Linked DNA regions of Canis lupus familiaris. The protein of the gene in region 2 interacts with the protein of the main gene of each other region in a biochemical or structural test. Links are inferred from orthologs where the notes say so. Each region holds a gene or a part of one and is shown on either strand. Other genes may lie near its edges.

Region 1 (3,824 bases), on a different chromosome or scaffold from region 2:
AAAGAATTCTCCAGAAACACCGAGCATCGTAATTCATACAGACTAGTGAAAAAGTATATTTGCGTGCAGAGTGCTTTCTTATGCAAGATTAGTTAGCTGCTGCTGCTTTTTTAAATTCATAGTCAAGAAATTCTTTTGTGACTATGAGGCAAGTCTGTTCAGCGAGTCAGCGTGTGTACCATTTGAATTGGAAATGAACGCCAGCTAAGTCATCAGGGAAATAACCAAAAAAAGGTAGCATTTGAAAATTGGGTCTTTCATCTTGTTTTGAGTTTTTATTGACATTTTTTACCAATGCAAATTGTTTTTCAAAATTTAGGATAATTGAAAAATGTTGCTCATAAAACATCTAATACTTTCCTGCTGTGGTCAAGGCATGAGGACAAAGATCTGCCAGCCTTTTGTGTTACTTTGAACATTAAAATATATGATTGACCACTGGGTTCCTTGCATACCAACAGAATAGATTACTTTAATAATACAAGGAAGAGGAAAAGATGCATTTCAAAGGTCCTAGTAACATTCTTCCTAAACAAATACTCCTATTTTTCTAAATCAAATGAAATCTATGGGTAGGGGAGGGGAAGGAAATGGAATACATGACTTGCTGTAGACTAAAGCACTTTCTCAACTTCTCTCTGAAATCTTCAAGGACAGAGTCGACACTTGTCTCACCTGGAGACCACCTGGCTCAGCCCAGCCCAGAGCATTTCCCTTCTGGGGCACTATAGTCATCGCTACTCCCAAAATAGCTTGACTTGAAAACATCTGTGGTGATGATTATCTTGTTTTCTTAATGAGGATCTAATATTTTGATTTTAGATACTTTTGAAATTATTTTAATACAGTATTTATATTTTAAATGAGCCTGCCATCTAACTTTCATTCACTAAATGACTCGAGAAGTGTAATTAAACACAACTCATATCACATCTATTTCAATTATTGTCTTTTTTATTATCATCGAATGTGTCTCTCGGGTCATGAGAAACTGGATGTGAACATTGAGTCATCAACATAAATATATTTATGACTACTTATGTGCCGCACAGTCGTAGGTCCTTCATGTTATTGTCTAAGTTAGCTCTCACAACCACCTCGTGAGGTAGGTATTACCTCCATTTTACAGATGCAGAAACAGGATGGAAAGATCCAAGCCCCCTAGCTAATAAATGTAAGGGCCAGGATTTGAAACCAAGGGGTCTGACTCCAGAGACAGCCCTTAGATACCAAGCTATTAGAACGTTAATTAAAAACAATAATAACAAACTAACCATGCTGGCTTAGCACTAGGCCATAAACATTTGTATACATTCATTATAGCAGTTGACTGCATGAAACAAACCACACCTAGCCTTACCAATGCTTTTCTCTTTCATGGATAATACAGTGGCCACAAGGTTCCCATTTTGGGAGGTGATGGTGGAGGAAGCAGCCAAAAACAAGCATTATAATAACTCTACTAAAATACACTTGTCAGACAACTCAAAGACAACCTATGGAATGGGAGAAGATATTTGCAAATGACGTATCTGATGAAGGGTCAATATCCAAAATCTAGAAAGAATTTATTAAACTCAATACCCAAAAAACAAATAATCAAGTTAAGAATGGACAGCAGATATGAATAGACTTTTTCCAACAAAGATATACAAATGGCCAAGAGACACATGGTTAAGATGCTCGACTTCACTCATCATCAGGGAAATACAAATCAAAACTATGATGAGATACCACCTCACACCTGTCAAAATGGCTAAAATTAACAACACAGAAAACAACAGGGGTTGGTGAGGATGCCGAGAAAGGGGAACCCTCTTCTCTTACACTGTTGGTGGTAATGTAAGCTGGTGCAGCCACTTTTCATGTGTATGTGGAATTTAGGAAACAAAACAGATGAACATAAGGGGAAGGAAGGAAAAAAAAAAAAAGGGAGGCAAACCATAAGAGAGTCCTAACTATAGAAAACAGACTGAGGGTTGCTGGAGGGGAGGTGGGCGGGGGAAGGGCTAAGTGGGTGATGGGCATTGAGGGCACTTGTGATGAGCACTGGGTGTTGAGTGAGTGATCAATCACTAAATTCCATTCCTGAAACCAATATTACACTATATATAAACTAACTAGAATTTAAATGAAAAACTTGAAACAAAAAAAATACACTGGTCAGGAGATTTTTAGAGTTTGAAAATATTTCAGAAAAGGACTGTCTGGGAACTTGGTAGATGATGTTTTAAAAAGTCCTGAGACCCTCTTACAGTTGTAACGGTAAGAAACCACTTTGAATTTTCATAAAGAAGCCACACAGCTTTGAGGAGAAGGGGTAACTTTTGCTATACGTATGTTCTGGAAGAGTCTGAGACAGGAACAGTGGTCCCTCTGCCCTGCAAGTGCTGCCCTAGCTCAGCGCTAATTCAGGCCCCTGGCACGTTCAGCACAGAATCCCAGCCTCTACTTTCTACTTCTTTGAGTTTGTCTTCTGTACTGCGGCTAAGGGGACCCAACAGTATCCACATCTGTGTCGCCTGTCCGCTTCAACCCTTGTAGTGGCCCTTCTGGTGCAGGTCATGTGGCCATCATCCTTGGCCATCAGGCCTGTCTACACCGCCTGGGTCCCACCTGGGCCACGTGTGAGCTGCCTGTGATGCCCCAGCAAGCATCCTGTAGTCTCTGCCACACTGTCCTTTCCTCACCTCAAGGTCTTTCTCCTCTTGTCCCTTTCTCTGGATCACTCCCTCTGTAGCACCAACCTCAGACTCTGCGGGCTTACTTCCGCTCATTTTGAAATACTCCATTTGGGCAGCACCATTCTTCCCAGAATCCTTCCCTACTTCTTGGCTCTCCTCTTTGCCTTTTTCTCACCTGCCAGGCTGGGTTAGATGTCTTTTTAAGACCCCACAGTACACAGATCCTGTGGAGTCTACACTGTACTGACTTGATCTGTACATTTTCTTTCTAGCCTCCAGTTTCTACAGGGAGGGCTGTGTCACATTCATCTTTGGATCCCCAGAGCCAACTGCTGTCAATCCCCCCCCCCCCCCCAGGTCTGTCCTAACGGCTGTGTCCCTTTCACCGTCATTGTTGGTCTGGGCTGGCCGCACAGATGGAAAGAAGTGTGGGGTCCCGGAGGACATCATACCTTCCAGTTCCCAGCAGAGAGGTTCTGGAGAGATCCAGCAGAGCCTTCCAAGGTGGCTGGGTTGGAACTTTCTGCTAGAAGAGTCAGATACGGTTTTACCACTGATGGATGCCACAGCATCTCAACCCCCTTGGGGGACTTTGACAGTCCTGGGATAGGACCAACTCCATCCCACTGCAAGACAAAGAGCACACGTGAAATGGAAGCAAATGAACACACTACACTCTCCAATACTTGAAAACATTCCTCTCTGCTGGATTCAGCTACAGTGAGGTAGAAAAACTGTATAATGAGAAATTTTCTTTTCTTGCCAAATATGTGATTTCTTATTCCCAGAAAAATGAAACCTCAGAGTTTCATGTCAAATAAAATGCTAACTTGATCCTCCTGGGGTGTTTTCTTTTTCTTTTTCTTTTTCTTCCCCCAGCAGCTTGGCTCTGAGTCCTTGCTGGGCGACTCTTTTCCTAGCAAGTCGTCCAGCTCGCTCAGCCCCAGCAGTCGGGCCTGTGGGACCTCCAGTTCCAGCCGGTAGGACAGGTTCCTCAGGGTGCACACGCAGTTCTCCACAGTCTGAAAACCAACACAGCGTATAATTAAAACCATTGAGGCACATTACTGCAAAATGCTTCTGTACCGAGCAGCCGTGATCTTAAGTAAATGCAGAATATGAGAGAACTTTTTTTTTTTT
Region 2 (3,824 bases):
AAAAAGCAGTCAAATTATTTTTGGATAAATCAATGAGTTATCTCCACTTTGCCACCACTGTGTCTGTGACCTTAAACTTATTGCTCAATCTGAACCTCAGTTTTCTTTTCTGTGAGTCACAGCTCTATCAGTCATTATCTGGGTGACCTTAGGAAAATTCTAAACTCTTTGTGCCTTACTTTCTCCAGGTTGTCGTAAGGGTTAAAACACTAAAAAAATAAAAAATAAAAAAAATAATAAAACACAAAGAAGTGCTTGGCATGTGGTTAGTGCTAAATAAATATTTGCTATTTTTGTAATTATCTTAATGCTTACACATAATTAGCATACAAGAACCATACAAATTACAGCTATCATTATTATTTAATATTATTGTGTGGTAATCTGTTATCTGCACTGTTTATTTGGTTGGCCCTCAGGAAATATTTGTATTTATTATTTATATGACTATTTGATACGGTGGAATTTAACCTGAAGTTTCTTTGTATATATTTTTTTTGTATATATTTTCTATAGTAAATAATTCTCTACTTTAAAAATGAAAATGACAAAAAATTGTCAATGTGTAAGTTTTATATTTTAATATTTAATTTTTATTTTTAATATTTTGGGTTTCTTCTCAGGGTCAATGACTGTATATTGCGAGTAAATGAAGTAGATGTTCGTGATGTGACACATAGCAAAGCAGTTGAAGCATTGAAAGAAGCAGGGTCTATCGTACGCTTGTATGTAAAAAGACGGAAACCAGTATCAGAAAAAATAATGGAAATAAAGCTTATTAAAGGCCCTAAAGGTATGGAATAGTGAAACCAAGACAGATTATCAAGTAAGAAATTACTGAGATAAATGTAACTATCAAGTTACTAGTGACACACATTCTAAGATTAACAGTACTAGTAATCTACAGAACTTGTGTGGATTTTTAGAATTTCTCTTTAATTTCTGCTGATTTTTGTCTTAGGTAGAATTCTATTTAGCACTTGGAACTTATGTATACTGTTGCTATTAACTTGTAATCATCAATCTACAAAATGTATTAAATGCAGATACACGGGCTAAGTTAAAAGAAAGAAGTAATTATGAGTATGTCATTAGCCTCATCTGTAATGGGGACAGTTAATACTTGATTTCTGAGTTTTGAAAACATTGATGGAATTGAGGATAATTACTTATTCTAATTTGTAACTTTATGGAAGAAGTAGTATTCCAACAAATGAAAAAAAGAATAGAAAGCTACAAATTTGTCTAGTATTGAAGCTATGGAATTTATGAATTACAGAAATTCTTTAAAAAATTCAGAGGGGCGCTTGAGTGGTAGTCTGTTAAGTCTCCAACTCTTAGTTTCAGCTCAGGCCCTGACTTCAGGGTCATGTGATCATGCATGTCAAACTCTAGGCTTAAAGCTCTAGGCTCAAAAAAAGTTCTAGGCTCCACACAGAGGCTGCTTAAGACCCTCTCATACTCTCCCTTTCCTCCCCCACCCCCCATCCCTCTGACTCATGTGTACTTTCTCTCTTTCTAAAATAAATAAGTGAATCTTTAAAAAAATAAAAGTAATTCATAGAATATTGGAAAAGGAACAAAATTATCCACATTGTGAAGCCTATTAGTTCTGCCTACTACCAAAAAATTTTATTATTTTTCTCAATTGTTTTACTCTTATGAAGGTATTAAAAGTGTTAGAAACACAATCATGATGGGAACAAAATTGAAACATAATTTTGTAATGCCTCTTTGAACTAACAAACGCATTTACAAACAGACCTTAAGAAGTAACCTGGGCAGAGAGGACAGAACTTATTTCTAACTGTAGGAACATCTATATAAAAAATTGTTCAATGACTACAAAGTAAACACGTAAGACTTAAAAAATAGGCAAATAGGTGTGCTTGGGTGACTCAGTCACTTGAGCATCCAACCCTTGATCTCAGCTCAGGTCTCGATCTCAGGGTTTTAAGTTCAAGTCCCCCCTCTGGGCCCCATGCTGGGGGTGGAGGCTACTTTAAAAAAAAAAAGTAGACAAATAGATTCGTCTGTATTTAAAAAAAAAAACCAAAAAACATGAGTGTGATAAGACTGTCACCTTCTAGTTTTCAACCATTTCTGGACTTAAAAATACTTTAAATGATGAAATTTCAAAACTAGTATTTTCCAAACAGGTCTTGGGTTCAGCATTGCTGGAGGTGTTGGAAATCAACATATTCCTGGGGATAATAGCATCTATGTAACCAAGATAATTGAAGGAGGTGCAGCACATAAAGATGGTAAACTTCAGATTGGAGATAAACTTTTAGCAGTGAGTATAAGAAAGCTGTTATTTTAAAAATCATTTTCATGTCTCCTCTTTTTTTTTTTTTTTTTTGGAAAAACTGAAATTTTTCTTGCCAAAAATGTTTAAACAATATTTAAATGAATGAACACTAATTTTTAATCAAAACCTGAAAAATGGTTCTTGGTATTATTTGCCCCTTTGTTCCCCCTCTACTAGCTTCTCTCTCTTTTCTTTCTTTTTTTTTTTTTTTCCTTCCTTTTCCTACTCTTTTTTGTTGAAGGGCTAGGGAGTTGGATGCACAGAATTGTTTAAACACAGTATCACCCTTTGTGTGTGACTTTCTTTTTCTTGTTACTTAATTATAGTATAATGAAGACTGCTAAAATCAAAACTAGAATATCAACAACTTGTTTTTTATTCATTTGCTTTTAAAAATTGTTTAATCACATACCTATGCCTAAATATCTTGTTTAATATTAATTTGTTCTGAAAATGTTCTTAAAGGCTGTTGTGAAAAAAAAACAAAAAAAAAAAAAAAGGCTGTTGTGCTGAATGTAGTCTTTTAAATTTTATTTTTTACTCAGAATTGGTTTACTGAGATTTATCCAGATTGTTGCCTAGAGCTAAAAATTTATTCATTTCACCTCTACATAATATAGCTCCAGATCTATACTGCAGTTTATTTATCCAGTCTTCATCAATAATGATCCTAGTCTATGTTCCCTAGAAAAACATCTGAAGAAAAGGTACCGTGCTAAGGTTTCATTGGGAGATGTAATCTCAGAAGCTAGAGTGAATGAAAATGAAAAGTGAGGGAGAGAATAGGGGAAAGTCAATACAAGGTATTATGTTTCTGAGCTGGCTATAATTTCATAAGAAAATGTCACTAATTGACATATAGGACAGCCTTCCAGTCAGGTGATGTGACACTATTAAACTTTAGATCCAGCCATCCAGGGAAAAGAAAATATTTGTCTCCCTATCTCTTGTTAGATAGAGTCTATTCCATGAATGGTAACTGTCCCTAATTTCTGCACTGTTACTCAGCTACTCTGGGCAAATGCTAGGGAAGCCAGCTCCCATACTCCATGGTATAGCATTTCCTCTGAACTGAGAAGTGATGGAAAGAACCAGAGCTTCAGTGATCTAGACAGACCAGAACACAGGCTTTTGACGTGTTACAGCTCTCATTTCTGTGTAACACATTAGTCATGCCAAGTGCAGCCCTTACCCTAGAAAAGATTAAAAGATCTGGTAATGGTAGGAGACAAGGTGAGAGAAGTGGTAGCCAGGACTCTCCAGTAAGCACACAGCCAAAGCCTAGTAGGCATGTAGGCTCAAGAAAATCTGAAAAGGCACATAAACTAGATCTGATACAGTAGTAAGTTGGGTTATTGCTTTTTTTTTTTTAAAGGATTTATTTATTTATTTATTCGTGATAGAGAGGCAGAGACACAGGCAGAGAAGAAGCAGGCCCCATGCTGGATGCCCGATGCGGGACTCAATCCCGGGACTCCAGGATCACGCCCTGAGCCAAAGGCAGGCGCTAAAC

Evidence for each region.
Region 1: the proteins of DLG1 (region 2) and PKP4 interact in a test that uses a peptide from one of them, tested with the Homo sapiens proteins (2 studies listed by IntAct, with this or other methods). The link is inferred for Canis lupus familiaris from reciprocal best matches to the Homo sapiens genes DLG1 and PKP4.

What each region holds. Positions count from the first base shown.
Region 1 is NC_049257.1:4,782,689-4,786,512, reverse strand, and holds part of PKP4 (plakophilin-4), read right to left. Parts: intron 3,707-3,824; coding exon 3,515-3,706; intron 3,311-3,514; coding exon 3,137-3,310; intron 1-3,136. UniProt on the Homo sapiens protein: Plays a role as a regulator of Rho activity during cytokinesis. May play a role in junctional plaques.
Region 2 is NC_049254.1:30,810,868-30,814,691, reverse strand, and holds part of DLG1 (disks large homolog 1), read left to right. Parts: intron 1-623; coding exon 624-793; intron 794-2,159; coding exon 2,160-2,296; intron 2,297-3,824. UniProt on the Homo sapiens protein: Essential multidomain scaffolding protein required for normal development. Recruits channels, receptors and signaling molecules to discrete plasma membrane domains in polarized cells.